Linked DNA regions of Arabidopsis thaliana. The protein of the gene in region 2 purifies or fractionates together with the protein of the main gene of each other region. This does not show direct contact. Each region holds a gene or a part of one and is shown on either strand. Other genes may lie near its edges. The genes, in order: RPN1A and AT4G24820.

Region 1 (17,046 bases), on a different chromosome or scaffold from region 2:
TCTTCATCATCAAACATTTGGTCTTTTACTATTTCTGGCCCAAAATTTTAGAAGCTTCATTATTCTTGGGTTATTTTAAGTTATGAGGCTTACTATTTCTGACCCAAGTTTTTTTCTTTACAAGTGCCCCATTGAGTCGATGAAAACGGCAAGCACTTGATTGTTGGAGTATCATCAATTATCCCACGAGAAACTCGGACATTATTTATTACCGTTAAGAAAATCAAATGAAGAGATGTTTTTCAGTAATAGAAAGGAACAGCAAATGAATTCAAACTGTAGCTTTCAGTTCATGGTCCCAACTAGTAGTTGAAAACAAAGACAAAAGTTTGCTCACCACAAGCTCATCCACAACAAAATAGATTTTTCATTTTAACCAAAATAATAACGAAAATAAACTCCACCAGTTGAATCAAAATATTGGTTTAATTGTTTGTGATAACAGTGACAATTTTTTTCATGAAATTTTACAAAGCAAGAATTATTGAAGTTTACTCACGCGGTTGCGTTTGTGGTCTCTTGCCAGTTGCCACCGCAACAAAGCATTGGTCTTCTTCGTTTTTTTCTTTACGTTTTTGTAATTGTGTTTGTGCTTTAACTTTATGTTATAACATAAACATGCAAACGTAAACACACACACACACACAAAAACGGTTATGGTGAAGCTCCAACACCAGCTCCAAAGTTAATGACTGCGTAATGGAATGTTTTGTTAGAACTAATTGGAAATCGATTGCTTTTCGTGTCTTTGTAATTGAAATCTATTACCATTATTTTTGTAACAAATAAAAGTTTTGGCCTTTTAATTTGGGGATACTGAATTTTATAGCCTATTTTCACAAGAATTTGATTTGTTGTTTCTATTGGCGATTTTCGAAATTAGTAGACCGTTTTCCCTAGCTATTTCCAAGTTAACAGGAGAATCGTTCCAAGTACATATATACATATGATATGCTATTTACAGCGAAAAAGATGATGAGTGTTGGAATCATAATTAATGACCAGTAGTCCTTTTACGAAAGTTGCACTTCATTTTTAATTACAAACACACATGATATCATTTCCATTCTAGTCGCTATCAAGTCACATGTGGGTGTGGTGGCCCTTCACGTCCACTGATTGTCAAACCTCTAATATCAGTTTCAAAATTAATGTACATATATAGCTTTTCATCTCCATCTCTATATAGAGATTCAATACTCAATTCAATATAACATTTGTATATTACTCGAGCTCATAGATTTATTTTATTGACCTATATATTAAACTTATTGGCTAGCTAGCTTTTTCTGTTATTTTTGAAATTTAAACTTAGCTAGTTTTTAATATTCCAATAGTAGAAGAAAACTATGAAAACTCACTGTAACTCCATGCTGGGAGAAGGGATCCAACATCTCACCAACCAGAGTGTCGGGCCGTAGACTGAACTAGCTGACTGTGAGATCTTAGATCATTCCAAAATCAACAACTCCAATAATTATTTATTTTCGGTTTCTAAATGAAACAATCTTTATCCTTTTCTTTATCTTAAACCAAATCAGTTATATAGAAGATTAAGTCATTATTAAAAAGTATCATCAGATCATCTCATAAATGGTAGCAACAAAACCACTCAAATATTCAACTATAAATTACTCCATCATTTATAGAAAGGAGCCTACGCATATATCTAGCAAATATTTGGAACTCTAGTACTTGACTTTGAGAAAACCCTCATTCAATATATATAGAGTTGTGTTAGCCTATAAGGGCCTGAAAGTATGTGGAATTTCTTACAATTTTCTTCCTTCACGATGTATATATATATATGCCGTACGAATATTGTGAACGTGAATTCGATTCAAAAAATGTGATGTGGAAACGAGCAACAACAATTATTGTAGCTCTTGAGGACCCATAGGACGTGCATGTCCACTTATACCTAATGAGACAATTCTGTCCTTTTTTATAAGAGCATCTTCCACAGCTTAATTTGCGAGCCTCATTCACGTCAATATATAAGGGGTATGTGATACGGTAGATGGATTGATTATTTACATCCATCTACATGTAAGTTGACCAGCATAGACCTTTTACATAGTGACATAGAACCGTTGAAATGCCATCCGATTGATCAATAATGTTGGGACAGACCAAAACCAAGATACCAAAACGGTAAAGGGACAAATGCGACAATCAGATATTGAACTTTAAAGTTGTGGCTCTGATCCAGTTTGGCAACAACTTCACTTAAATTTTTGTGTTACCAACAAAACAGGGAAAAAGATTCGCTAAAAGAGTTGCCTAAATATATGTTTGAGCTTGTTGTCGATATTTTATGTTTATCTAAACAGTAAAAAAAAAAAAATTTATGTTTTATTTACCACATTTAGAACTAGGCATATATATATATATATATCTTATTATATAAAGTATGGTTTTTAAAGTTGCTAACTCATAAGATTGTGTCACGTGTCAAGTCAAACGATCAGATGTTTACATGTATCATTCAAAATTTAACTTTTTTATTCTCTAAAATTAAATAGAAAATCTTAAAAAGTAAACAAATTTACATATACTAATTTATATGTCTATATATTTATAAACAATTAACATTTATTCAACAAAAGGAAAATTAACAAATTTGTCTTTAACTCATGTAATCATAAGTGAAAATAGAACATTTTGAGAAAAATAGCTTATCTTATAGGATTTAACTTTTCAATTATTTTCATTTATTAATTTTAACTCATTTAATATTAATTTGCATGATGTAAAATTAACTTACGAGATTACGGCATATATAGAAAATATATTTTCAACAATGTTTGGTTTCTAAATATTTTGTGGATTTCTTTTTTTTATTAATTATTAGCCCTAGGCGTTTGGGTATTCGGGTCGGGTATTTTGGGTTCGGGTTTTCGGGTTTAGAAGTTTAGGACCCGTTCGGGTAATTTAAGATTTCGGGTCGGGTTCGGTTTGGGTGGGTTTGAGTTTATTTATATATTGAAATATCAAATTTTGTGTGCAAATCTATTAAATTACTTGAAAATTTCAAAAATTCCCAAAACAACACGAGTAGTTTTGCTTGAATATATCTAAAAATACACAAAATAATTAAAATATCCAAAAAATCCTAATATTTTCTATATATAAGTATAAATATAACTAATATATATTTATATTTGAAATATGTTTGGATACGTATTCGGGTTCAGGTTCGAGTTTTTTGGGTTTTGAAGTTTAGATCTGTTCGAGTATTTGAAAATTTCGGGTACACCCGCCTCAATAGGCGGGCCTTATCTAGTATATATATATATATATATTTTTGTGATGGATTTCTTTCTGTCTCTCTCTATATATAGCATATAAATGAAAATGAATTATATTTGCCTTTAAGGGAGAAGAAAGAGACTTACTTTGGATATCAAAACATGTCTTGCTCTCTATTCTAATTAAGTCTAGCCTATCTACAACATACATAAACCTCTATCTACGATTATATTTGGATCTACAAGTGAAGATTGATCGATGTTAGCTCTGTCTCCGGCGACAAGAGATGGTTGCGACGGAGCGTCAGAGTTTCTTGATACGTCGTGTGGATTCACGATTATAAACCCGGAGGAGGAGGAGGAGTTTCCGGATTTCGCTGACCACGGTGATCTTCTTGACATCATTGACTTCGACGATATATTCGGTGTGGCCGGAGATGTGCTTCCTGACTTGGAGATCGACCCTGAGATCTTATCCGGGGATTTCTCCAATCACATGAACGCTTCTTCAACGATTACTACGACGTCGGATAAGACTGATAGTCAAGGGGAGACTACTAAGGGTAGTTCGGGGAAAGGTGAAGAAGTCGTAAGCAAAAGAGACGATGTTGCGGCGGAGACGGTGACTTATGACGGTGACAGTGACCGGAAAAGGAAGTATTCCTCTTCAGCTTCTTCCAAGAACAATCGGATCAGTAACAACGAAGGGAAGAGAAAGGTGAAGGTAATGATTTTAATCATATCATCTATATATAAAACATTAGTCTTATATGAATAAAAACCCTAGCTAGACTCGATTAAATGAACAGGTCTATAATGGATTCGTATTTTTTTTAAAAGTGGATTATTCGTTTAGAATTCATTTTCTTGCTAAATCTTCTAAATTTTTCATATTTCAGTCATGTTTACAAGACTCGTGTAAAGACATCACGTGCATCTCTATAAGACTTTTTTTCTTTCAAATTATGTAAAATAGTCAGCTGCTAATTGTGAATTTTATATAGTATGTGAAAAAGTATTGAAAAAATAATGAAGATGGTGGTTATATATATGTTGGGATGTGTGTGAAGGTGGATTGGACACCAGAGCTACACAGGAGATTCGTGGAGGCAGTGGAACAGTTAGGAGTGGACAAAGCTGTTCCTTCTCGAATTCTGGAGCTTATGGGAGTCCATTGTCTCACTCGTCACAACGTTGCTAGTCACCTCCAAGTTAGTATATTTCTTTTCAATTTCATTCTCTAATATTAACCATCCAAATTAACATGTTGCTGTTATTTGGTATACTAGAAATATAGGTCTCATCGGAAACATTTGCTAGCTCGTGAGGCCGAAGCGGCTAATTGGACACGCAAAAGGCATATCTATGGAGTAGACACCGGTGCTAATCTTAATGGTCGGACTAAAAATGGATGGCTTGCACCGGCACCCACTCTCGGGTTTCCACCACCACCACCCGTGGCTGTTGCACCGCCACCTGTCCACCACCATCATTTTAGGCCCCTGCATGTGTGGGGACATCCCACGGTTGATCAGTCCATTATGCCGCATGTGTGGCCCAAACACTTACCTCCGCCTTCTACCGCCATGCCTAATCCGCCGTTTTGGGTCTCCGATTCTCCCTATTGGCATCCAGTAAGTTCCCACATTTATGAAACCTTTACTTTAGCTCTTTATCATATTTGTTTTCATCATAGTATTTAACATTATGAAAGCTGAATGACACCGAGTATTTTTATCATATGCTTGTCTTTCTAACCAGCATTTTTGCATGTAGATGCATAACGGGACGACTCCGTATTTACCGACCGTAGCTACGGTAATGAACCAACATTTATAAGATTGTTTCCGTATGTATACCCCTTTTTGTTTCTATATATATGTTTTAAATCGTATTTTTGATTGGTAATTGTATAGAGATTTAGAGCACCGCCAGTTGCCGGAATCCCGCATGCTCTGCCGCCGCATCACACGATGTACAAACCAAATCTTGGATTTGGTGGTGCTCGTCCTCCGGTAGACTTACATCCGGTAAGAATCTAATATAATGAATTGATTGTTGTCGAGTTTTGACTTTTCGCATTTGATTATGTAATTATGTATTTTTGACTTTTTGTGTATATATATTATAAATGGAACAGTCAAAAGAGAGCGTGGATGCAGCCATAGGAGATGTATTGACGAGGCCATGGCTGCCACTTCCGTTGGGATTAAATCCGCCGGCTGTTGACGGTGTTATGACAGAGCTTCACCGTCACGGTGTCTCTGAGGTTCCTCCGACCGCGTCTTGTGCCTGAAACGCACAAGATCCGTAGGCAAGCGAGAACCAAACAAAAATTCGACGACATGTCTTTCAATTATTGTACTTTTATTTTTCCAAGGGTTGTTTTTGTTTTGACCCTTGTTGTGTTAAGAGTTACTCTTTACTTAATCGTCCCATGTGACTAATAAGGAGACCCTTTTCATATGTATCTAGGGTGCTAAGTACACTCTAGCTCTATTAACGCAAATAAATTACCTATATTTTCTCTAACCATTGGTGATTTAGAACTTGATTGCTTATATAAAGTTTTTTTATAAAACATAACACAACAAATTTCCATATCAAATGATCATATGGAAATTGGAAGCGTTCAAAGCAAAGTCGCAAACGACGACCAATTGATTATAAAGAGGACAACCTCACGAGTATATATACACTTATAATTTATAAACATAACTTATACTTAAAAATACCAGCCGGTTATATATGGTGAAAAATGAGTAATGAAATTGTGTGTTTACCATGCATATATTACCGTATAAAAACGTATTGTTGGGATTGAGAGAACAATGGCATAAAATAATAATGAGGAGAGAGGGAGAGGACCACGAGATAAGAGGAGAAGGAAGTGCATGGAGGCAACGTAAAATCCAACGTAACGACCTCTTCTTTCTCCAATTGTGACCACTCTCTCTCTCTCTCTCTCGTCTCCTTCAAATTTGAATGGTCCCTCTCTCTTCATAATTGATAATTCATATACATGCGGATACTATTACTAGCATCTCATTTTCCACTCACACTTGTACACATATGCTTTTTATAAGTACGTATTTATAGGCAAAAGTAAATATATTCAAACCCTACATGCATGGTATTAAAATCCAATATAACCAAAATGAATACTCGGTTCAAATTCAAAAATTTAAAGGACTTTGGTCGAAGATAATGAAGACAAATCATTTTTTTTTGTTCTAACCGGACATTCCAAATCGAAATGCACACTAGTTTTTGGTGCCTACATCTACATTGGCTAACTTTTACTAAAATCATAGTGAAAATAACAAAAAACCATGGTCTCTATAAACTCTTTGGTGAAGATTTCAACTACTAAATTACCATGAGATAGATGGTCAAAAATTGTCAATATTGAATTTACAAGGATCATGAGATATTTCAACAATTTTACTAATGACCAGATCCAATGCAGTGAATTAGACGAAACTATGACTTCACTAGGTTGTGAAAGAAAAGCTTGTCTTGCAGTTTTGTCTGCGACCGGTCGAAAAGAGAATGAAAATATGTCGAAATCCTCTTCAAACGTGAAATAAATTAACTGTCATAAGGATAAATTATGTTTGTTCAACCATACAGAAATATGATGAATAAATAATTTTAGACATGTGGGCCCATGTAAGAAGAACTCACTAAATGAGCCCAATACGGTTAATGGGCTGTGACATTGAAAAAGAGGTTGTAATGGGCTGATTGATTCTATAGTGTAGAAATCTTGATCGAGGGGTTATCTTCTCCGATTCCAATATTTAGATTCTTCTTCATATATTATTGTGCTTTGATTAGAGAGTTGCAGAAGAGTTTTTTTTGTTTTAATTCCTGCAATCAGAGAGTTTTCGATAGCACAAGCACAAGCTTCTCGATTCGTTTGAGTGTTCAAATTTCAAGCTTTTTACAAGGGGTTCCTTAGATTGATCTGTTACTGTAGAGATGGCTCCAACTCAGGATCCCAACAGTGTCGGAGGCGGTGCGAAGAAAGATGAAGCTACCTTGAAGGTTCCGTCTAAGGATCCCAAGAAGAAGGACGAGAAAAAGGATGAGGATTTGGTAAAGTTTCTTCTTTCTCGGTTTTTTGATTTATCGAATCCTTTTTCGACATTGTGTGTCGTGTTTAGTATCTGGGTTCATCAGAAACGAATTAATTTCAAATCTGTAAGATCTGCAGTTAGGTTTTTAATTGGAGTCTCGATCGAGTTGAAGTAGGGGTGTTATAGAATTAGGGTTTTTAATCTGGCAAAGTGAGTGTTTTGTTCGTCATTAGACTAGCCGGATTAGAAAGTTGTTAACTTGTGATGTGAGGAAAGTTTTTTTTGTTTGTATATGGTCACTTTCTTAATGACTCGACTTACATTGGGTTGTGATTGTAGTCTGAAGAGGACTTGGAACTAAAGCAGAACCTTGAGCTCTATGTTGAGAGGGTTCAGGATCCTAATCCGGAATTGCAGAAGGCTGCCCTTGAGAGCATGAGGTAATTCTTGACTTGATCAGCTTCGGGTTTTCAGATTATTGCCACTGAAGCTTGTACAACTTATAAAGCTTTTTTTCTTTCTCTCTGCTCTTGGTGTACATGTTTATGTTTTTAATTAGAGTTTTATTTGGCTTTGTAGGCAGGAAATCCGAGCTTCAACAAGTTCCATGACTTCAGTTCCCAAACCACTAAAGTTTCTGCGTCCCCATTATGGAACTCTTAAAGCGTTTCATGAAACAATGGCTGATTCTGATCTCAAAGTATGTCATCATTGATTTCAAGTCATTAACAATTCTTATATTGGTATGGCTTAAAAATTACATTTGCTATGTTTGCAGAAGTACCTGTCCGATATCCTGTCTGTCCTGGCCCTTACCATGTCTGCAGATGGTGAAAGGGTATGCTTCTACTGACTTGGGCATACTTTGTATTCTGATTTGTATTTTTTAAGGCATACTTTGAACTGCTAATCACTTTCTTTTACAATATAATTCCAGGAAAGCTTAAGGTTTAGATTGATTGGAACAGAGGGTGACATTGGATCGTGGGGTCATGAATATGTCAGGAATTTAGCTGGAGAGATTGCACAAGAGTATACAAAGCGTCAGGTTAGAAATCAATTTTCGATTTTGTCTTTGGAAATTCAGTTTCTCGTCCTAGGACTTGTGCAGATATTCTAAGATTGTTGGAAGTTGTGTTTGGGTTTATCCTTCTGAATTCTGATGGTTGGAGTTTTGAGGAATGACTAAATGTGTCTTATTCAATGAGAAAGGTCACTGAGTCATATTTATCTACCTGTTCATTATCTCAGAGTGAGGAGGCCTCTATTGACGATTTAATGGAGCTTGTGCAACAAATTGTTGCTTTTCACATGAAGGTGAATTCCTAAACTAATAGGGCTTGAGATTAGCACCTCTGCGATTTATTTATTTCTAAACGATTTCATTTACTCCTTGCAGCATAATGCAGAAACCGAAGCTGTTGATCTTTTAATGGATGTTGAGGATCTTGATCTCTTACTTGAGCATGTAGACAAAACAAATTTCAAGAGGACATGCAACTATCTCACAAGTGCAGCTAGGTACTTTAAACATAGTCAATCCTATTTATTTTATTTTTCCTCACTCTTTGTTATTTGAACTGATCTTGTAGAAACAAGTGGTGAGCTTTGTTTATATTTGCTTCCAAAAATCTCTCTGACGTCTTATATATTTGAATTTTCAGGTACCTTCCTGGACCAGATGACATGTTGGTTCTAGATATTTCCTACATGATTTACATGAAGTTTGAAGAGTATCCAAACGCTCTGCAGATTGCACTATTTCTTGATAACACGCAGGTAGGACTTTAATCTTTCTATAGAACGTAGTTTCATTTCATTCTTTCTGCGTGTGAAGCATTTGGAAAAATCAATCCTCTATGTTTTATTTCGAGTATTTGCGTAGACATTTTTGATATTTAATGTGCTGTATGGTGTATTTTCTGTATTGCAGTATGTTAAACAAGTATTTACCTCATGTACGGATCTGCTGAAGAAGAAACAGTTCTGCTACATGATTGCTCGTCATGTAAGTCCTAACTATCTCTACTTTACTACAATTCTATCTCATTCTTTCTTTTCGGTATGTATGTTTTGATTTGGATCTTTACTCCTATATGCTTTGATAGTTGGTTGTGCTTTTATTCGATTGTATTTTACTTTCCAGCTGTTACATAAAGTTAGCAGAAAAAAAATGAGAACATAGTTTGTAGTTGTAATTCAGCATGATCTAGAGGGAATTTAAATATGTTTCTTGAACATTATTTTTAGTCCAATTTTGTATTGTTTTTCTGGGAAGACCTCATTCTTTAGCGACACTGGCCTCCTCCTATTCTCTTCTAAGGCACACACAGATTAACTGCTGCATCGCTGTTTAAAATTTCCATTCATTTAGAGACACAATACCCGATTGACATACTTTCTTATACTTCTCCTCTCGTCGTATGCCTCCCTGCAGGGTATAACCTTTGAACTTGACGATGAGATGGTTGCAGATGATGATGACCGGGAAGCCCTACAGGATATTGTTAACAACACTAAGTTAAGTGAAGGATATCTGACCCTTGCAAGGGATATTGAGGTCATGGAGGCCAAAACGCCTGAAGACATCTACAAGGTAAATCAGTTTTAATGTGTTAGGCTTGCTACTCATTTATTTAGTTACAAATTATGTTTCCCTCAGTCTTTGACCTGCCCTTTTTGAATTTTATAGGCTCACTTACTCGACGGCAGGGCTAGCTCCGGTGCAAGCGTGGATTCTGCTAGACAGAATTTGGCTGCTACCTTTGTCAATGCATTCGTAAATGCTGGTTTTGGTCAGGTATGGTTGCAGATTATAATAAAATAGATCTAGTGGAAGACGTGTCCTCTTAATATATTTGCTTATCGCAGGACAAACTAATGACAGTACCTTCAGACTCAACCACCGGATCTTCTGGAAACTGGCTCTTCAAAAATAAAGAACATGGCAAGACTAGTGCAGCTGCTAGTCTGGTATACTTTTTCTTATTTGATGAATTTATTTACTGTGCTCAGATCATGGAAGTAAGAATTGTAACCAGATCTTTTTGTTTCCCTATCATATAGGGTATGATTCAACTGTGGGATGTGGACTCTGGACTTTCCCAACTCGACAAATATTTCCATAGTAATGATAATCCTATCATTGCTGGAGCACTGCTGGGAGTTGGGATTGTAAATTGTGGCATTAAGAACGATTGTGATCCTGTGAGTTGCTGTCGTGTTTGATTTTGCTGGGACCATTTGTGCTAATATTTGCAGCCACTCTTCCATCTTACTCAGCCTTATTTCTCAGGCATTGGCACTTCTTGGAGACTATATAGACAAAGAGGATTCATCTGTCAGAATCGGTGCTATCATGGGTCTTGGAATTTCATACGCAGGTTCCCAAAATGACCAGGTACTTGTTATATTCTTTCCCATATTACTACTTGAATGTTTCGGGTGTTCACAAAACTTTAACACGTACACTGTTTCAACAGATTCGAAACAAATTGTCCCCGATACTGAATGATGCAAAAGCGCCTCTTGATGTGATTGCATTTGCTTCACTTTCTTTGGGAATGATATATGTTGGTTCCTGTAACGAAGAAGTAGCCCAGTCTATTATATTTGCTTTGATGGATCGAAGTGAGGCAGAACTGGGTGATGCCCTCACTCGTTTCTTGCCACTTGGTCTTGGACTTCTATACCTGGGCAAACAGGTTAGCAATGTGTTTTACATAATCTCGCTCTTTGTTCGTATATCATTATTTGCATTGCTTGACCAACATCAACTTGTTCCAATATCTACCAGGAAAGTGTAGAGGCTACAGCTGAAGTTTCGAAGACCTTCAATGAGAAGATTAGAAAGTATTGTGATATGACACTTCTTTCTTGTGCTTATGCTGGAACTGGAAATGTCCTAAAGGTATCTAATCAATTGTGCTGGTGGTTGAGTGACATAATTCATTACTTGTTTAGTTGTTGACTCCTACTTATATTTTCAGGTACAAGACCTTCTTGCTCAGTGTGGCGAGCATCTTGAGAAAGGTGACATCCACCAGGGTCCAGCTGTGCTTGGGTTAGCAATGGTTGCTATGTCTGAAGAACTGGGAGTTGATATGGAGATCCGTTCTCTGGAGCGGATGCTACAATACGGAGAACAAAACATTCGGCGTGCTGTGCCTTTGGCCCTTGGTCTCCTTTGTATATCCAATCCAAAGGTAAATACTTTTGTAAATGTAGTTTTACTGCACCTGCTTACAATTATTAGTGGGCGTCTAGAGTAATACTGGGTTTTTAATATTTTTCCCACAATTCCAGGTGACTGTAATGGACACCTTGAGCCGGCTTAGCCATGACACAGATTCGGAAGTTGCCATGGTTAGCAATCATTTCGCTTCATAGCCTGTCCCATATTATTTAGCTGAATAGTATTGAGAGAGGACTGATCTTTCTTTTGACTCGTACAGTCAGCAATTATATCATTGGGACTGATTGGCGCTGGAACTAATAACGCAAGGATAGCCGGGATGCTTCGGAACCTCTCCAGCTATTATTACAAAGACATGAGTCTTCTCTTCTGTGTAATGTGTTCCTCATTTTGGTTTCTGTACCCTGCGGTAAGCTGTTGTTCTTGTTGGAATTATTGTAACTAACTTGGTAAGTCATTATGCAGGTGCGTATTGCTCAAGGGCTTGTGCACATGGGAAAGGGTCTCTTGACACTCAGCCCCTTCCACTCTGAACGGTTCTTGCTATCGCCGTAAGTTCATTCTTTTTGTCACCAATAGAACCAAATCTTTTTTGATAGTTGGATGTTCAAAGGTTTCTCATGCGGACCTTATTTATGCAGAACCGCACTTGCTGGTATAGTGACACTTTTGCATGCATGCCTTGACATGAAACCAATCATACTCGGGAAGTACCATTATGTGCTGTACTTCCTCGTTTTGGCGATGCAAGTGAGTTCAACTTCTGTCCTGTGTTTCTCCCTCTTGTTAGTTAGGTCTGATGAACTTGCTATGATTTGATATTTAATCAAATTTTGTTAAAAAAATGTATAGCCAAGGATGATGTTGACAGTGGATGAAAACCTGAAGCCACTGTCAGTGCCAGTGCGGGTAGGACAAGCAGTTGATGTGGTTGGGCAAGCGGGTCGGCCCAAGACCATAACCGGTTTCCAGACACACTCCACACCTGTTCTCCTGGCTGCTGGAGAGAGAGCCGAACTAGCCACGGACAAGTATGTTATTCTTTTTCCTTTCTTCCTTGTACCCTTTATGTTGCCTACTTAGGTGTCTGATTATAAAACTCGGATTTGTAACTGGCAAACAGATACATTCCTCTGTCGCCAATACTAGAAGGATTCATCATCTTAAAGGAGAACCCAGACTACAGAGAGGAGTGAAGAGAGAGAGCTTCTGCTTCCAGCCAGTTGTCACTAGTTTTACTATTTCGTCTATTATCTCATGGTTTTTCTACTCTCCGTTTAAGCTTTGTTTCATTATCTTGGGATCTTTGTATGACCTGACGCTTTTAGTTATATAAACTTTAGTCTCTTTTTTTTTTTTTTTTTTTTAATCGCCACCAAGTCGACACATATTCTTGCCAAAACCAATATTGACTCAGTTTAAAAAATAACGATCCATAAAATTTTCCAATTACTTTGATCACATAAAAAAAGTGAAGAAATGTTAGCCACTTGCATAGTGCCGTTCAAAGACGCACAAATGAAATTGGGCTTTCCTTTGGCCCAAAAGTGTTGCGATCGCGTTTATAACAAAAGACTAAGGTTTCGTCCAAACTAAGATCGCGTTTATAGGGTTTATCATCATTTCCCGTAATCGTAATCGGAGTTCAGGCTTCAGCATTCTCTCTTCTTCTCTCTCGCAGCCGTAGTTTTTGATCTTCTCTTCAATTCTCTCTCCTGATGGCCACGTCCGCCGTCCTCTCCGGTGCCAGATCGATGCTTCGAGCTGCTTCCTCACGCAGCGCCGCTGCTTCTACTGGCCGCTTCGCCTCTCAAGCGAAATCCGCTCCACCATTGTTTAGAGCCACTGCCAGAAGAAGCCCACTGCTTTCTCCTCTCCGGTTAGTCTCTCTCATACCCATTTCCTTATTTGAGCTCATTTCACAGTTTTGTGCTACTTGAAGCTTGAAATGGGTTAAATTCGATCGAATTGTGAAAAAAAAGAAGGAACTTCTCTATGTAAAAATTACATTTTTGCGTTAATCATGTTTCCAGATCGATTATTCACAAGTAAAAAAGATGAAATTTTGCATTTTGATGTTGATTTTAAATGTGAAACTCTCTTATCACATTACTTAAAAGAATTTGCATTTTTGTTTGTTTTTGATGTGAATAGAAATCCTGTGGAACTGAGCTTCTGTGTGGAGTCATTGTTACCATATCACTCGGCTACAGCTTCAGCGCTAATGACTTCAAAGCTTTCTATCTCTGGCCAAACCTATGGCTGGCTCTCTGACGGTACTTTCTCACATCCTTCAATTTTGTAATGCTTGAATAATGGCTTAAATATGTACTAAATATTGAGTGGAGATATGCTTTGTTTGATTGATGAAATGTGTTTGAGAGCTGTTTCTGTATTGGCTTTCTAGATTGTTGTATTAGACATAGGTAGAGAACTAGTTTAGATTTTGCCATTTAAGAAGCTTTCTCGATCAGTGTAGATTCTTTTTGGTTGTTGCTATGGCGAAAAACTGGATCAGTTGTTGTTGTCTTTCTGCTTAACGTTGTAAAGAGATAGCGGCTCAATTGGTCTAGTTTTTCGATCTTGTAGGCTGACACAAGTGTAGATGGAGACAACGAAGCCAAGATCTGGGTTTTCATGCAAATAATATAAACGATTAGAACGGGTTTCAGGCAATAAGATAGGCTTTAGATACACATCAAGCAATGGTTGATGCTGCATTGTGTTTTAAAAGAACTGGTTCTTACATATCTTCTTAAAAAAAATACATGTACCCGGAAACGTGTCTTCTTTTCTTGTTGGTTATAGCATTTGAGTTATTACTGATTGGTCTTATACTCCCAGCTTGCAATGATGATGTGTGATGAGTTAGCCAGAGGAACAATGAAGCTACAGTTTATGTACAAAACCTCTACCTTTTAAAGCCTTCTTCTTTAGAAAAACTTAGGAACGAAAACCCTCTTAATTTTGTTTCTGAGTTTCTTGGAGAGCTTTTCTTTGTTTTCAGCCTATTAAGTAAGACATGTTGTATTGGTTGGACGAGTAACTGATGTTTGGTATAATTTATCAGCTTGCAAAGAGGACTTTTGATGATGTCTACGCGTACCCAATGCGAGATTGTTGATTGCGAGAGAAGGTTTAAGAGTATTTAGGCAAAGAATAATTGTTGTACTGTTCAAACACAAATCATCTCTTTGTCTTTAGTTTTCATATCAAAGACAAATGTCCAATATCTTTTGAATCAAATCTCTATGATTTCTATTACATCAACATACAAACTCAACAAAATTGCATCACTTCTACTAATTTAAAACTTGGAAACATCCATGAGTTTGAATACTATAAATTATAATCAAGATTCTACCAAATATATATATATATATATATATATATATATATATATATATATATATATATATATATATATATATATATATAATCAAGAATCTCATCAAAATAAGTAGGGAAAAAGTAGCAGATTTGGCAATCAAATTGGCACATTAACTTGTCGACCCTTAAACTTGAAAGAAGGTTTCAAGTTTCTTCTTCTTGTCCCTTGGATCTTATGAAACATTGTATTCTCTGCCAAAGATTCACGACTTGAATGGGCAGCTTTGTTAAAGGATCTCTTTGTCATTAATTTTTCATATTAAAAAAACAGATCCTTTCGAGATATAGAATTACATCTCTGTTGAATGTGGATTGATACAAAGTACAAACACTACAGTTTCTTTGATCCTTAAGTTTCTGCAACCACCACCACTAAAGCTCGCTCTTCTGATGGCTGTGTCTGTTCTTCTTCTTGTGGAACTGTTTCTTCTTCTTGTGGAACTGTTTCTTCTTCCTGCGGGAGTGTTTCTTCTTCTTGCTCATTCTCAACAGGCTCAACTTCCTCGGGAGTTAGCTGTAGATTTTGTCTCCTATACCGAAATATCACCAGGATGATAAAAACTGCAGAACATGAAAGACGTATACGTTATATTTTGATACAAGGCAAACCAAATACTCTGTCAACCATTGGTTAGGTAAATTACCTGCAAATATTCGGGTTCTTATGCTCGTCAAGTTCCAAAACGCTGTCACCGCAGAGCCAGCCAAGATCTTCTTGTGTGAGCAGACTCCCCATGCTTCACCTATTCTCGTTTTCACTCTTTCAACTGCACAAATGAAACTCAAACCAGTTCAAGAATTTAAACCATTGGACCAGTTAAAGACATCTACAAACACTTGACTATTGATTCTAACACAATTGACAATATGTGAATGGGTGCAATTCATTATTCTTCACCTTTTTGGCTAATCTGATGCGTGTAACATGAATACAGCTTTGGGATGGTGAAACTGAGGAAGAAACCTGTTTCAGTAACCATACACACATATCATCATCACAATTCCTATCATGCTTAACAATGTTTCAGCTTATGTTCCAAATGTTAATTACCAAATGCAGATAGCCTCCACAGTGTTATGAGATGACCATACTCAGCTCCAAGTAGCAGAAATGGTGTCACCTGTGACAAAAAGAAAATCAGCAGATGAAAGGGCAAGTAAACCACCAACACATAGCAATCACCAAAACTGATTTGATTTTGTTTACTTTGAGTGTCATTGATGGTTCTCCTGAAAAAAGCTCACTAGTCTTCGAGATAAAAAAGTTGGTTGCAGGAAGCACTCGTCTAGCTGAGCGCAAGACATCATCTTCACTCACATGGAACGCTCTCTTTGTGTCTTCATTTTTCCTAAAAGTAACAACACATTGAAGGATCACACTAACTATTAGCTTATGGAGAATGCCAAACAAAAGAGACCACAGAAGTAAATGTACCTTTGACAAAGAGTGTTTGACAAGAAGGACCCGCAAAGTAACACAAGTCCGAGATTGGAAACCGCCGAGAAAACGCTTCAAAACAAAGAAAAAGGTCATGACTTTCACAAATCTAATTGAGCCTACAAACACAAGCTAGATATTTGGTACCTAAAGTTGACTCCTTTGGCAAAGCAAGAAGATAGGAAAGACAAACATCCAAAACCAAACCAGAGAGTCGATTTCGCAACATCTCTCCACATTACCAAATCACTTATAATCTCTCCAATCAGATTCAAATCGCTCTGACATGTATCTTCACCAAACCCAACACACAAGCAAATCAGAATTAAGCAGAGAAACACATAAAGCAGATAATAAGAGAAAGAAGAGTACTTGGAAGATCTGAGGAAGAACAAAGAGGAGGAGCTGAACTTTGCTTATCCTTCTTAGGTCGACCATTAGTCTTCCGCTTTCTAGGAGGAAGCTTTACGATTTCTTCGATAACCAAATTAGCTTCTTTCTCTTCCACAGCTTCAGATCTTCGCCTCGATCTCCGGGGATTCCTCGGAGATGCTAAAAGACTCTTTTGCCCTCCTTTCCCTTTGCCCCGTTTCCGAACCACCGCCATAGCATCTTCAGAAGTCATTTCGAGTCGATCGGATAAACGGGTCCTCGATTTTCGAAGTGGAGAAGGAGGTAAGAGGAGGATAT
Region 2 (15,268 bases):
ATCAACATTTCTTTGATTCTGCAGATTGGGGTTGTTTCTGATGATGAATTGCTTGATCTGCTTGATCTTGCCATGTCTTCTGATACTTCAAACACGGTTATAAGGGCGAGGGAACTTATGAGATCCAAAATAGATCCAATGCAGCTTATTTCACAGCTAGCTAATGTCATTATGGACATCATTGCTGGAAACTCTCAAGAAAGTAGTTCAGCAACCAGACTTCGGTTTCTTACAAGGCATACATGTAAGCACCCCAGTGATGATTACTTTGAATATCAGCTTCAAATTAAAACCTGATCTCACTCTTTATCATATACTGTTCTACTATATATAGCTGAAGAAGAAATGCAGAAATTGAGAAATGCATTGAAGATACTATCTGATGCTGAGAAACACTTGAGAGCATCGAAAAACCAGACAACTTGGCTCACTGTGGCACTTTTGCAACTTAGTAACACCGACTCATCATCTTTTGCAACAGATGAAAATGGAAGAAACCAAATAAACAAAGGTCCTAATTCATAAATTCTCGTTTCCTTTATTTCATGCTTCTTTTTCGTGTTGTCTTGGTTACTAACTATATATAACTTACCCTTGGTCATGTATCTAGACGTTGAGCTCTCCAGCACATCATCAGGTTGTCCTGGTGATGTTATTAAATCAGATGCCGAGAAGGGTCAAGAGAGAAACTGTAATGAAACAGTTGAATCTGTGTGGAAAACGGTTACAGATTTGTGTTGTTCTGATTCACTAAAGAGATTTCTGTGGAAACGAGGAAGGTTGACTTCACTTACTGTTGACAAAGGTAACTTATATTTCCCAAAGATGGTCTGAAAGTTTTACTTTGGCTTGTGTCTCAGATAAGTAAATGCATATTCTTTTTTCTTTTCAGGTGTGGCAATAGCTGAGTTAGAATTCTACACACCTCAACATGTAGCAAGAGCCGAGAAATCATGGAAATTGATTGCAGACTCGTTCCAATCTGTGTTAGGATGCAACGTTGAGATCCAAATGAATCTTGTTATCTCTGCGTGTTCTCCACCAAAGAGTGCTAAAGCAGCAGCAAGTCTTTTCTTTGGACTTTTCAGTTGTTCTCGTAGAATGCTTCACAAGTCGTATTTGACTACAAGAACCGACTCTGACTGCGCATCTGAAAAGCCTGCAGTTACAAATTCTCTGAGAAGTTGCCAAGGAAATGTCTTGAGGGCTCGAAGTGTTCGTTCTTCAGCCAATGCATCATCGCGTATGAGCTGTTCCAGTGATCAAGGCGATGCAACTTCTGCTATGTGTACTCCACACATTCCTCCGGGTGAAAAAAGGTAAAACATGGTTCATATTTATTCATTTCAAAAGTAAGTTGTTTTGTGATTTGGCTAGCTACTCAAGTATACTCTGCCTCTGACTTTGTGCAGGCCAGAAGATGACACTGATGTGTTGTGTTGGAAGAAGACTCCCCTAGGCAAGGTAAACATCTCGACTATGCCTAAGAATTCGGTTTCAGATCTCTGTCTGTACCTTTTTGGTGTTTCTAATTTGTGATGATGATACATGTCTTATAGGGTCAGAGCGAGACACAGAACAGCAAGAGCTCACGGCTTATCGGCCGAGTCCTTCCCTGCAGCACTGCAGCTAATTAAGGGAGCTCGATGAGGGTAATACCCATTTTGTGGAAGTGGAACCAATAGGTTTTAGCAAACCCATTGTTTAGGACAATGTGACACAAAAATGTATAGTTGCAAAATGTGTTTCAAGACCATATTTTAGATTAGCATATACTAATCACTCCTTTAACAGACCTGAATTTTACTGTCTTTGGACCCTTTTATTGACTGAGCTCATTATGTTTTCACAAATTATCTCATTCATTAAAACGAATCAGAATAAAGTGAATACATTAGTCTTCAACTTTTTTGTTACAAAAAGTGGATAATGTTTAATTTTTTCAATAAACTGATTTGAAATTAGAAACATAATTTGGATAAGGTTTTAGTAATTTGGGATAAGATATTGACAGAGAGATATTTATAAATTATCTGGTTTCACTATTTTGGTAGGAAAACTCCAAAATTAAATCCATAACCCTAATCGATATCTCTCTTGGACAGGCCAGCACATGTAACGAGCAATCGTGACCGTTGAGACAGTAACACGTGGCAACAGTCCTTATGATGAGACCTTTGATGAGAATCAGCAGCCTCCATTTCTGTAAGCTTTTTGTTCCTCCCAAAATTCCCAAATCCATCTTCTTCTCCAAACAATCTTCTCTCAAACATTACTACTATTTTCCAGGATAGCTTACGCAGCTTCAGACTCGGGTTCTTCTTTTCGATCTAGCCTCCGTCCTCTTTCTTCTTACCACGGATCTCGCCTGCTCTTTTTCCGTACGACGGTCTGCTTTGTGGATAGTTTGGCTGACGACGAGGCGATTTGAACATTAACAGTTACTGGTACTTGGAGTTTCAAACATTTCTCCGATGTTTTGGTTTTGGCATTTAGTCACGGGAATGATTAATTGATTGATTGCTGTAGAAATATGTGAAGAATGACACGTAGAAGAATTTGATGAAACCTTGGGATGCATAGGCTTCTGTATTATGGATTGGTGATTTTAGATCTCCATTTATGTCGTTTCACATCAGTGTCTTGTGGTTTTAGCTATATGCTGTTTTGGTTTTAGGTTGATATTTATTGTATGGTATGTGTTTGTTAAAGGAATGATTTGATGATGTTTCACTGTTAGGGTAATTGCCAAGGATGGAGGGTTTCCTAACGGATCAGCAGAGAGAGATGATGAAAGTTGCAACTCAGACTGCAGATGATCTTCCACCCTCACAAAAACCTCACTCGGTTTTACTTGAGCATCTGCCTAAACCATCTGGTGGTGGGAAAGCTTCTGGTGCGTCAAATGCTGTGAAGCACAGAAGGTCTCATGCGGGAAGGTCTATTCGCTCTAAGAAGGGTCAGTTACTACCTTTATCAGTTTAGATTTGGGTTTCTAAACCATCAAGTGTCAAGGGATGGCTCTTAGTCAAATTTGGAGCTGAAAATTGTGTAGATTGCATATTTATACTTCCTTTGTTCTTCGGGTAGCGGTGATTGATAAATTTTGTTTCAGATGGAGGTGGTGGGAAAGGAAATTGGGGAAAACTTATTGACACTGATGGAGACTATCACATTGACCCGAATGATCCTAATTATGACAGTGGAGAGGTAGTTTCTGCACCTTTCGTACTAGATGGTTGATTATTTTCTTGCCAAAGTACTTGCACAAAACTGTTTCTGTTGTCCATCTGCTGTTCAGATGATGTAGAAAATTTATCCATTGTGTGTTACTTTTTAGAGATCATCAGTCTCAGCTCTCTTTGTGTTTTTTTTTGTTTTATAGGAACCATTCGAGCTTGTTGGTGCAACTCTGTCAGACCCATTAGATGATTACAAGAAAGCTGCAGCTTCCATCATTAACGAATACTTCAGCACCGGTGATGTTGATGTGGCAGCAGCTGACCTCATTGAACTTGGTTCAAGTGAATATCATCCCTACTTCATCAAGCGGCTTGTCTCGGTAGCGATGGACAGGCATGACAAAGAGAAGGAAATGGCCTCGGTTTTGCTTTCCGCATTGTATGCTGATGTCATTAACCCGAACCAGATAAGAGATGGATTTGTCCTGCTGCTCGAGTCAGCCGATGACTTTGTGGTGGATATACCTGATGCTGTCAATGTTCTTGCTTTGTTCCTTGCACGTGCTGTCGTGGATGACATACTTCCTCCAGCTTTTCTTCCTAGGGCTGCCAAGGCACTTCCAATAACTTCTAAAGGTTACCAGGTTGTCCAAACTGCAGAGAAAAGCTATCTATCAGCTGCACACCATGCTGAGCTAGTAGAAAGAAGGTGGGGTGGACAGACTCGAACCACTGTTGAGGAAGTCAAGAAGAAGATTGCTGACATTTTGAATGAATATGTGGAGACTGGAGAGACTTATGAGGCATGTCGTTGCGTAAGAGAGTTGGGTGTTTCTTTCTTTCACCATGAGGTTGTGAAGAGGGCCTTAGTTACTGCCTTGGAAAACCACGCAGCAGAAGCACCTGTATTGAAACTGCTAAATGAAGCAGCTTCAGAAAACCTGATAAGCTCTAGTCAAATGGTGAAGGGATTTTCAAGATTAAGAGAAAGCCTTGATGATCTTGCTCTTGACATTCCTTCAGCTAGAACCAAATTTGGTTTGATTGTGCCAAAAGCTGTCTCAGGTGGTTGGCTTGATGCTTCGTTTGGTTATCCCTCTGGTGAATGTGGACGACAACAGAACGAGGATGAGAAACTAAAGCGGTTCAAGGAAGACATTGTGACCATCATTCATGAGTATTTCAACTCTGATGACATACCAGAACTCATACGCAGTCTTGAGGATTTAGGAGCACCCGAGTACAACCCAATTTTTCTAAAGAAGCTGATAACACTTGCTTTGGACAGGAAGAATCACGAGAAAGAAATGGCATCTGTTCTTCTCTCATCTCTTCACATCGAGATGTTCACCACAGAAGATGTTGCAGATGGTTTCGTCATGCTCCTGGAGTCTGCAGAAGATACAGCTCTTGACATTCTGGATGCGTCCAACGAACTTGCTCTGTTCTTAGCTAGAGCTGTGATCGATGATGTTTTAGCACCTTTTAACCTGGAAGAGATCAGTAGCAAACTACGCCCTAACTCAAGCGGAACTGAAACCGTGAAGATGGCTAGGTCACTCATCTTTGCTCGACATGCAGGAGAGAGGCTTCTAAGATGCTGGGGAGGTGGGAGCGGTTGGGCAGTGGAAGATGCAAAGGACAAGATATCAAATCTCCTGGAGGAATACGAAAGCTCAGGGCTGGTATCAGAAGCATGCAAATGCATCCATGAGCTAGGCATGCCTTTCTTCAACCATGAGGTGGTGAAGAAAGCACTGGTGATGGGTATGGAGAAGAAGAAGGACAAGATGATGCTGGATCTTCTGCAGGAGAGTTTCAGTGAAGGACTCATAACCACAAACCAGATGACCAAAGGGTTCACAAGAGTCAAAGACGGACTTGAAGATCTTGCTTTAGACATCCCAAACGCAAAGGAGAAATTCAACGACTACGTGGAGTATGGGAAGAAGAATGGTTGGGTTTCGTCGTCGTTTTTAACTTCCCTAACTGAAGATGCTAATGTAGGCTAGAGATCAAGAGGAGATATCCCAAATGGTGTGTGAACTAAAAAAAACTGATAGAATGTACAAGTCTCTTTCTCTCTTGAGCATCCCTGTGGTTGTTTTGTTTTGCACTTTTAGGCTTTGAGAATTCTGCCCAGGGAGCTTATCTTTTCACGAATGTTTAACTTTTTTCTTCAGAGGACCTTTTTATTGCTCTGAATTTAGTCCAACGGAACTTTGGGGCTATATTGGATCAAGTTTCAATTCAGAGTCAATAATAATGCCTTGATGACAATTAGACAAAACAAACTATATTATTTGCATTTGGTGTTTTTCTAATTATGATCCAAACTTTAATCATTTCTTTAATTAAATAAATTCCCATATATGCTTCGATGTACACACAGAGACAACAAGGAAGGGAAGTCTCGAAGCTAACATGAAATTCGTAATACCAAAACTACCCTTCACACTCTCTCTCTTCCTCTCCCTCTCTTTTCTCATCATCTTCCTCTTCGCCTTCCCCACCACATTCCTCCGCCGTCCTCTCTCCTCCTCTTCCTCCGTCACCTCCGTTGCCGACGAAGGAATACGGATCCGTCACCATGGATACTCCTCCTACGAAGCATACATCAAACACCAGCTCAACAAAACTCAGAACCCGAAGCTACGTAAGGTATGGACAACGCGCGACTGGGACAGGAAAGTTCGTGTGTTCTCCACTTTCTTCCGACGTCTCAGCGATCGCGGTCTTCTCTCAAATCAATCAAAAGCTCTCTCGATCGGTGCTCGGGTTGGACAAGAGGTTGCGGCGTTGAGATTGATCGGCGTGGAAGACTCCGTCGGAATAGATCTGGTTCCGCGACCACCTCTCGTGGTGAAAGGTGACTTCCACGCGCAGCCGTTCGACGAAGAGACATTCGATTTCGAATTCTCAAACGTGTTCGATCACGCGCTTTACCCGGAGAAGTTCGTTGGGGAGATCGAACGGACTTTAAAGCCCGGAGGGGTGTGTGTGTTACACGTGTCGATATCTGGGAAGACGGATAAGTACTCGGCTAACGATTTGCTTAGTGTGAAACCATTGGTGAAATTGTTTAAGAGATCCAAGGTTGTGGAGATGAGGAAGATCGATGGGTTTGGGCTTGACACTGAGATTGTTTTTAGAAAGAACATGAACTAAAACACTTCAAGATTCATAAATGTAGTTTTGTTTTAATTTGTTTCATTTCATTACATAGATTCGTTGTTAAGTTGATAGCAAATTGTTTCTTTTTTTGGACTGTATTTTCATTTTCTATCATTTATTATACACTTGCAAATGTATACATCAAATAAATTATAGTTTTATTTTTTACTGATATAAATATGTAATACCTTTGTCTTTTCCTTATTTTCATTGGTTAAATTTGTCGAAAATATGGAAAATCGAATTAACATGATAGTGATGGTCAAGTTTTAAGGTGTGTTGTGAGGGATTTTTGTTTTTTTTCTGTGATTATTGAAAAGTTGACATGGAAATAAATGAATTTCATTCATTCTTTCACTCATTCTCAAATTTGGGTTCGAACCACAACCAAATGTATATTGCAAATGCGGTTTAAAGCTACTTCTGGTTCTTGATGATGATACTCTCACAAATTTGACTATTATAGTTCCTAGTAGTTGCCATGTAACTTTGTCGGTGTATCTCACAAATAGCACAAAAGTAGAGTTTTAAAACTTACGCAACTCTCCTTGTGCTCAAATCTGACATTATAATGACAAAACTTTTATAAAGATGTACTCACTAGTCAAAGTTTCAAACCAACTAAACCGGTTAAGGTAAGAGACAACTTGCTGCCTTAGCTGTATCCAGAAAATAATGTAAAGACTAAAGACTGAGAGCATCATTTGCAAGAGGCAGGGGATTTTATTAACTCTCTCTTGGCCCTGGGTATAGCCTTCTAAGAGAACTACATCGACGCTTCTGCTTTCTACCTGAAATTTTATTTTCCATTAGAAAAACGTATTTGGTAAATCACTATAAAAGAGTTGCTCATTGTCTTAACCTGTTGAGAGTCTTCCAGATGCATGCAAAGCCTCTTCTGCCATAGCCCTCCAGTGTTGAGCGCAGGAGTAATTAATGCCAATCCCTACGCTGAGTCCTCTTAACAGAACTACTGTGCGAAGAACAGAGAAGAGTTCCTCTGGAAATGCCTACCCACAACCAGCAAACACACTCAAATTTTTGCAGTATATTCAAAACACACACAACTGTTGACTGAATATGTGTTTTCTTTTTTTACCTCAACCGAAATCTTTTTGATCGAAGAGTCTTCTGAGAAAGGTTGCAGAGTTGTCGTACCAGGAGGCATCTCTGTGTCGAACATTGTTTTTGCTAACTGGAGAAGCTCTTGTTGCTCATTCTTACACTTGGCTACTGTAGCTATACCAAGTTCCCTGAATTTACACCACAGAAACATCTAAGTAATAATCATATGCCACACTAATCCGATAGGTGACTAACCAATTTTCAGCTTCAATTAGAACCATAATCATGATAACAAAGTTATTTCACCTAAAGCTCTGTAACGCCAATGACGCATTGTTATCAGCGATGGCAATTACCAAATTTGCATAACCAAGTCTCAGGTGGTCAGGGAGTTCTTTCACTTGACCATAGTCCAGCAGTGCAACCTGATGACGGGAAACAAAGATTACAACTCAAAATATATAGACGGTACTAAAACGTATCAAAAGACCACAGTAAGTCAATTAAGAAACTACTAAAGAATAACTACAAACAAAAGATGACTTGCCTCTGAACCTTTACCAATCAAGATATTCCCAGGATGTGGATCCGCATGAAAGAAACCACTCTTCAGTATCATTTGGCCATATGCTTGGGACAAACTGTGTAGTATATTGCTAGAAAACAAAATACATTTTCCAATGCAGCATTAGACAAGATCCAAATGCTTTAAAAGCCGCCAATGCCATTGGAAAAAGTCAAAAACCTATCTGAGATAATGGAGGAGCTTACAATTTTGCTGCCTCTGCCATTTTACCATGAGGATTTATCCCTCTTTTTGCCATCTCATCACCAAGGCTCAAGATCGGGATTCCGTTCATGAATTCCATAACCAGAACCTTCCTGTGCGTATTATGATTATTCCTCTGATCAGCACTCATTAGTGAATATAACCGAAAATTAAAGAACTTTCGAATGGAAAGAGACTATGTCGAAAAGACAGGAACCATAATTCTTGATCAGTGAAACAGGACAACCTAAAAAGCCTTAAAACATTATTGGGATAACCAGAATGCTAATATAAGAATAAGTACCTGGTCACCAAATTTGGAAACACCCTGGGAACCAGAACAGGACTCTTTCTATTGTTATCATATAGAAAACGTCGGATCTTCTCCATTGCATTGGCCTCCCTTTTAAAGTCGAATTCATACCCAATCTAGTAAATGAAAACAAGGACTGATAGTGACTTGGCGGCTATAAAGTTCTTACCAGATACCCTCAAAATATAGAAAGAATGATATATACCTGCTTCTCTATTTCCTTTGTCATGGAGAACAAGTCAAATTTGATATCAGTTTTCTGCATGTATAATGCAAATATTTGCAAGTTTCTGATATCAACCATCATCAACTTCTCAACGCCAGGATGTTGGACCTAAACATGTCGTAGCACATTCAGAAACCAATTAAAAGTAGACTAGGAAGATTTCAGTTTTCTCCTCATTATTCCTCACCTTTACAACAACATCCCTCTTGTCACCCTTTACTCTTGCTCGGTGTACCTAGATAGAAGCAAAAAGAAAGTGAAATACAGTATATATTGAGACTTTCTTAACCAAACTATAATCTTATCTGATTTTATAAGCATGCACGGTAATACTGTACAAAGGTTCTGAAACTATGAGTGATGAAGAATGTAGTACCTGAGCAATAGAAGCAGAGCCAAGAGGCTTCTCATCAAATGTTTCAAACACTTGTTCGATGCTTTTACCTAACTCTTTCTCCAGGACAACTCGAACGGCATCAAATGGTGTGGCAGGAGCTTGATCACACAAAGTGACGAGTTTTCTCACCCAAGCAGCTGGAGCCAAGTCAGGTTTCCCTAGAATTTGTGCAATCTATTGAACAAAATGAAAAAAAGTAAAAAAAAAAAAAAAAAACTCATCATAAGCAACTGTGAACAATCAAAGAGTAAAATGTACAACCTTTATTCTCATCAAAGAAACAAAAAAAAAACTCATACTTTTTGTTACAACAAGATTTAAGATGAGTAATTCATAACAATCCCAAACGTGGAAGTCCCCTCTGGTAATCACAAACCTCAACAACAGTCTCAACACACCATTACCTTAAGGAAGAAACCACCAAGGTCAGAGCACATAGAATAAACTTTATGAGCAGCAAGTTCATGTTGTCTCTCCCACATCTCCTCGTGCTTATTAACATCCTTGACGAAGTTCATACGAAGTTGAAATACCTAAAAGCCCAGAACAAGACACAGATTGAAAGAAAATTGCAGAAAATCATAAGAAAAATGTATTACAAAACGAAACATGAAGAAGAAGAAAGGAGTACCCATCAATCAAAGAGAAACCTTGTATCCGGTGTAGATATCAGTGGCACGAGCCCAGAACTGAAACGATCGTTGCCAAGGCCGGAATCCATCAGAGAGCTTCTCCTGAATCTCTTTGAAATCGATCGCATGCATTTTCGAAGTTTTGAGGAAGAGTGATAAGGATGAGAGGATAAAGTTAAGAATTGTTTATGTATGGCGTCAGAGTGGAGTTTGCTGCTCTCTACGAATCCATTCGAGAGTGTTAATTACTGTTTCGTTAAATTGTAAAGGAAACAAAATCCGTTTGTCTTATGTCACACTCACTGTGAGTCACTGGTTATAATTAGGCAGGCAATAGAAGATAAGGTACTAATCTCCTCAAATCTTAAAGTAGTTTACAATGATGGTCTTGTTACTAACCCCAGACCATATCAAAAAATTTAGGAAAAAAGGAACTTACTAAACAGTAAGAAACAAATTGTAAATCCTATAAGTGTGATGGTGAAGAATCTCACCTAATTCACTAAACAGACGTCCGTGGAAGAAGAATCTGCAAAATACCAAGTTACCAACTACTGTGTATGTATCTCTCACAAGTTCAACCAAGGACTGTCCTTTAGATGTATCTAATTTGTGTTCAATTCTAACCATTCAGATTATGAAGTGTACTAATGCATTTTTCTTGGTATATCTATATGGTCAACTAATACACCTTGTGAAACAAAAGCTTTATTTTGTAAGAGGTATGGTGGTCGTTTTCTCTTAGATACTAGATAGATGCGATGAAAACAACAGATTCAAAAGCCATATGCGAGGAAGAATAAAATGAACATTGGAGATTAAACTTGCTCTTTGTTCTTGGGAAATTCACCACTGACAAACCAACTAGAGTTGATGAAAGAAACTACAGCCATTCATCTCAAAATCCAAAGTTCATATCGTTTCTCAGACCTTAAGATTCTACCGTTCGGAGTTTCCAAGTTGCAAAGCTTGACGAAAGAGTGAAACAGAAACATGTAGCATGCTCACAGATCGATCACACGAGACAGCTTCTGGATTCGGTTTAGCAAGAAATCCCCTTGCTTGATTGTTGCCTGGTAAAGTGCATTCTTTGCATCAGGACGGTTTGTCTCCAAAACACCTGCAACCTTGTCTATCTTACAGTGAAGCTTCCCAGCAGCAATGAAGCGCGACAACTCCCTGGATAAAAAAAAAAATACATTTCAAGTCAGATTTAAGTTTGTATTATCGTTTTTTTGTATGCTTCTAAAGAGAGGTGGCAAACATAAATATACAAAAGAGCGTTCATTATTGTGCTTACTGGTCTATGAAATCGACAGAAACGCCAAAGGCCTTTGCCATTGCTTCAACTGTCACACTTTTGTAAGATTCCAAAAACTGAGAGTACACCACTGTTCTGACTTCCCTCATGTAGAACCGGAAATGCGGGTACAAGTAACGGTCATACTTTATCTGCACCGCCATTCCAGCTGAGAACATAAGCCGACAATGAAGTTAGTAAACATACAGACAAAAGCCAAGCAACATGCATTCGGATGTATGACCTCTGGTCCTTGTAATGAACTTACCAAATGCTGAGAAAAACGCCTTGTACTGGCACTCATACAAGGAGTTCAGAAACTCAGAAAGGAATGGAATCTTCCCAAGCACGGTTAAGATCTCAGGTGCATCAACGACCTGTCAAATTAGTAGCACTTGATAAGAATTTCAACAAATTACATGGATATACATCATTTTAATAAGTCGACATACTAAAAAGTTTTTATCTAAGTTTAGACAACTCTAAGTGGAAGACTGAGCCATTGAGAAATACCTTTTGCTTAAGGGAAACTCTGTCCAAAGTTATGATGCTTGTCAGGACGGTGTAGAATATGAAGGTCTCATATGGAAAAATTTCATATGTTGTGAAGGTTGATATAGAATCCAGGAATAAGCTGGCAGCCTTCTTAAAATTTCTGGTGGACATGCAGTACAAACCTTCATAGACCTTTAGCCGGTTCTTCCTCTCCCAGTCACCACCCTCTTCAAACAATCTGGCAAGGGAAAACGGAAAGTGTTAATTCAAGGATTTCAGTTGCACTATCCATGAAGAGTAGTCAAAATACAGCCAAATTGACATTTACTTTTTTGCTTTGTCAATGCTCTTTGATACCAGATCAAAGTCCATATAGAAAAAAGCAAGTTGTAACGTATAAAACACCACGTCCATTTTTTGTCCAACAGCAACAGTTTTCCCTTCAGTGAGTTTTAGCTGCTCCAAAGCTTTCTCCTAGGATTACAAAACAAAAATTTAATGGCCACGATCCACGGAAGTTACCATAACTATCAACTTTGATATGCCACATACCTTATCACTAATCCTGATGAAATACAGAGCCTTAGCAAGATGAGCTTCACGAACTTCACTTTCACCCAAATTTTCTTCTGCATCTGCAATCCTGAAAAAAGTGAAAGAAAAGAATATGTAAGAGAACTTTGGCTGATAACATACTGGTTCAGAAGTTTCTACAAAGTTAAAGCGGAGGCCAAGATGGACTCAGAAACCAATGGTTAGGTAATGGTTATCTCCCTAAGAATACTAAGACATCATGCTACATCAGCTACCACAGGAACATGGAGATTCCCAAAATTCATAGTGGACTTTTGCAAACACAATTCTGAATCCAATTTGAGACCCAGAATGCTACAGTCCCCCTACATCAATCTAACCCAAAATACTAATACGAGAATTCGAATTTCAAAGCACTGCCAAATAAAAGTGAGAAACTGAAGGAAACTTACTTCTCGTCGAGCTTCTTAAGCTCCTCTTCATTAGCGGCCCGCATAGACTCTAACAAGCTTTGATCCAAATCCAGCACCGAAGAGGCAATTAGGGTTTCGTACAAAGGAGCCATACCTAAAATAAATAAAAACACCAACGAAACATCAGGAACATAAAATCTCGAAGAAATATTAAGCTAATTCTCACTGATTAGAGAAAAGGAGCTGCTTAACCATGGGATCTGATGAAATCCAAAACCTCAGACTTGAGCTGGACTTTCTCGATGTCTGGAACATCTGGATGAGTGAGGAGGAAGAGCTTGTTGGCTAGAATAAGGTGAGGCTGCTGAGATCCTTCCGCTCCACCGTCCATCGCAAATCGGAAAGCTTGAATCGGATCTGAGAGAGAGAGAGCAAATATATAAAAAGAGGTTTGCTTGAGCAAGGAGGAAGAGCTTACAAAGATTTCAGGTCCGATGGTTTTTTTTTTTTGTGTATGTAAAAAAAAAATAAGTTTCGCATTACCTTAAACACCCTTATCTTTTTTTACATTTAAATTTGGAATTTTTACCATAAGAAAAAAAAGTAAAAAACATTTACATTTAAATTCTCGTTATAAATAATTTAAACTTAAGATCGTTGAATTCAAGTAATGGATATTTATATTTTATATCTCTTTCCAATGGAAATCATAAAAGAAAGAGGCACTCATTATTAAATTTCTCAAGTTTTTCCAAAGTGAAGAAAGATGATAGAATTATTTCGAAAGAAGCTGAAGCTATGACGACGCATCACAATAAGGGATGTGTTCTAATGTCAGGCTCTCAATTCCAAGTAAGACATGAATGAAAACCATTTCTAGCTAATTTTCTTAAGCATAGCTCTAATTTTCATTGGAAGCCCGTAAAGACGAATAAACCCGGCTGCATCCGCTTGGTTGTAGATCTCACTCCCTTCAAACGAAGATATGTCCTGTCTATACAGACTGTTAGGACTCTGACGCCCTGTAACCGACACAGATCCTTTGTACAGCTTCAGTGTCACAGATCCCGTGGTTGTCTCGGTTATCTTCTCCATGAAAGCGTCCATGGACTCCCTAAGCGGATCAAACCATCTTCCTGCGTAGACCATCTCTGCATATTTCAGTGCTAATGTGTCTTTTACCTGAATACTCTCTCTGTCTAGAGTGAGGGATTCTAGTTCCTGTACAGCTGCAAAGAGGATAGTGCCTCCAGGAGTTTCATACACACCTCGTGATTTCATCCCAACCAGACGGTTCTCAACCATGTCAATCCGCCCAATCCCGTGCTTTCCTCCTATTGTGTTTAGCTCGGCCAGAAGTGTGGCTGGACTCAGAGCCTTCCCGTTCAGCGCCACTGGAAGTCCAGATTCTATCCCGATCTCGATGTATCTGTATAAGTGTGTAAGTATCAAAAGTTAGGATGCAAATTGCAAAATCCTACTCTTGGTATCTAAATTTGATAGCATAGCAGCTAAACCAGTTAACTCCTTTGAGAGACTTTAATAACGAGAACTCTCTATTCTAGATCTGATTCCCAATCCCAAACCATAAACAAATCCTGAACACACCAACTCATTCTGCCTAAACCTCAGCTCTGTAGCTAACTGACTCAACTTTAGTTTTCAAACTATCAACACAGCTATAATCCACTACAAACCACCTTGGGGTAATTACAGTGCATAGTTAAACACAAGGGCTCAAAGAAATTCCAACTTACTCAGGCTGATCAGGAGCATCTTCAGGATCCACACTCATCATGTACATATCTTTCTTTGGCTCGTTTGCTGGATCTTCCAATAGATCACCCTTTCAACAAAACACATAAGTTTGATATCAGAGCATGAGACACATTATTAGGAACTGAGCAATGTGACAAACTGGATCAATTTGTATCCAAAAGAAAAATGCGAACCAACACTTGTCTTTTACTTTACCTCATGACTAAGGTGCCACAGGTTTCTGTCCCGGCTGTAAATGGACTTCTTTGTCACTGGGACGGGAACATTATGCTTCTTTGCATACTCAATAGCATCTTCTCGGCCTTGGATTTCCCATTCTCTCCATGGTGCCACAACTTTAAGTTCAGGGTTTAATGAAAAGAAGGTGAGCTCAAACCGAACCTGGTCAATCAATCAGTACAAAAAAGTAATGTAAGAATCAATGCGTGTTTTCCAATGTGACGCATTAGCAAGACATTCCAAGTACTTGCCTGGTCATTTCCTTTTCCAGTACACCCATGTGCAACGGCATCAGCTCCAACCTCTGCTGCTACATCAACCATGGCCTAATCATTTAGAAAATGTATTAGTGACAATATGTAATCCAAAAGATATATCCAGATATTAGAAATAGTGGGGGTAGTCCTCACAAGTCAATCATATAAAACCATTCGAAATGTTACCTTAGCAATGACAGGTCGAGCCATGGAGGTACCAAGCAAGTATTTTCGTTCATAGATGGCACCAGCTCTAAGACAAGGGAAGATGAAATCTTTCACAAACTCCTCTGTGAGATCCTTAACGACCAACTGAGAAGCACCACTAGCCTTAGCCTTTTGTTCTAAACCCTCTAACTCTTTTATGCCCTTCACATCAAAGTATTTAGAGGTTGAGAAGACATAAGCAGATTGCAACAACATAAAACTTCATTTCTTAACTAAAACAGTTGACATGTGGCATTTTTGTGATGTACCTGACCAACATCAGCAGTGAAGCACACAACTTCACAA

What was found.
Region 1: the proteins of AT4G24820 (region 2) and RPN1A purify together in Arabidopsis thaliana (affinity purification with mass spectrometry; 2 studies listed by BioGRID, with this or other methods). This does not show direct contact.

Annotation. Positions count from the first base shown.
Region 1 is NC_003071.7:8,851,976-8,869,021, forward strand, and holds RPN1A (26S proteasome regulatory subunit S2 1A), read left to right. Parts: upstream 1-6,986; 5' UTR 6,987-7,235; coding exon 7,236-7,352; intron 7,353-7,672; coding exon 7,673-7,773; intron 7,774-7,912; coding exon 7,913-8,033; intron 8,034-8,111; coding exon 8,112-8,171; intron 8,172-8,270; coding exon 8,271-8,381; intron 8,382-8,584; coding exon 8,585-8,650; intron 8,651-8,732; coding exon 8,733-8,854; intron 8,855-8,997; coding exon 8,998-9,112; intron 9,113-9,266; coding exon 9,267-9,341; intron 9,342-9,770; coding exon 9,771-9,929; intron 9,930-10,025; coding exon 10,026-10,133; intron 10,134-10,204; coding exon 10,205-10,306; intron 10,307-10,399; coding exon 10,400-10,540; intron 10,541-10,628; coding exon 10,629-10,733; intron 10,734-10,815; coding exon 10,816-11,037; intron 11,038-11,129; coding exon 11,130-11,243; intron 11,244-11,322; coding exon 11,323-11,538; intron 11,539-11,638; coding exon 11,639-11,698; intron 11,699-11,787; coding exon 11,788-11,901; intron 11,902-11,993; and 9 more. Other genes in the region: GPRI1 (GBF's pro-rich region-interacting factor 1), read left to right, coding at 3,511-3,975, 4,043-4,090, 4,322-4,462, 4,541-4,885, 5,028-5,069, 5,168-5,281, 5,392-5,547; NFD6 (nuclear fusion defective 6), read left to right, coding at 13,247-13,407, 13,683-13,833; AT2G20590 (Reticulon family protein), read right to left, coding at 15,268-15,479, 15,563-15,685, 15,817-15,882, 15,970-16,039, 16,126-16,267, 16,354-16,428, 16,504-16,648, 16,729-17,046. UniProt on the Arabidopsis thaliana protein: Acts as a regulatory subunit of the 26 proteasome which is involved in the ATP-dependent degradation of ubiquitinated proteins. Required during embryogenesis. Required for optimal plant growth and stress responses. Required for innate immunity.
Region 2 is NC_003075.7:12,779,709-12,794,976, forward strand, and holds AT4G24820 (26S proteasome regulatory subunit Rpn7), read right to left. Parts: upstream 13,015-15,268; 5' UTR 12,892-13,014; coding exon 12,753-12,891; intron 12,655-12,752; coding exon 12,540-12,654; intron 12,197-12,539; coding exon 12,106-12,196; intron 12,028-12,105; coding exon 11,882-12,027; intron 11,792-11,881; coding exon 11,572-11,791; intron 11,436-11,571; coding exon 11,327-11,435; intron 11,228-11,326; coding exon 11,059-11,227; intron 10,938-11,058; coding exon 10,763-10,937; 3' UTR 10,609-10,762; exon of another isoform or gene 10,361-10,608; intron 10,084-10,360; exon of another isoform or gene 9,891-10,083; coding exon of another isoform or gene 9,777-9,890; exon of another isoform or gene 9,660-9,776; coding exon of another isoform or gene 9,531-9,659; exon of another isoform or gene 9,343-9,530; 3' UTR 9,322-9,342; downstream 1-9,321. Other genes in the region: AT4G24790 (AAA-type ATPase family protein), read left to right, coding at 25-244, 335-511, 611-805, 893-1,319, 1,413-1,464, 1,560-1,637; ECIP1 (MA3 domain-containing protein), read left to right, coding at 2,755-2,959, 3,116-3,210, 3,386-5,194; AT4G24805 (S-adenosyl-L-methionine-dependent methyltransferases superfamily protein), read left to right, coding at 5,607-6,350; AT4G24810 (Protein kinase superfamily protein), read right to left, coding at 7,083-7,147, 7,219-7,366, 7,456-7,609, 7,728-7,846, 7,969-8,077, 8,193-8,303, 8,495-8,619, 8,709-8,837 and 4 more; AT4G24830 (arginosuccinate synthase family), read right to left, coding at 13,377-13,929, 14,258-14,346, 14,475-14,660, 14,750-14,824, 14,942-15,124, 15,232-15,268. UniProt on the Arabidopsis thaliana protein: Acts as a regulatory subunit of the 26S proteasome which is involved in the ATP-dependent degradation of ubiquitinated proteins.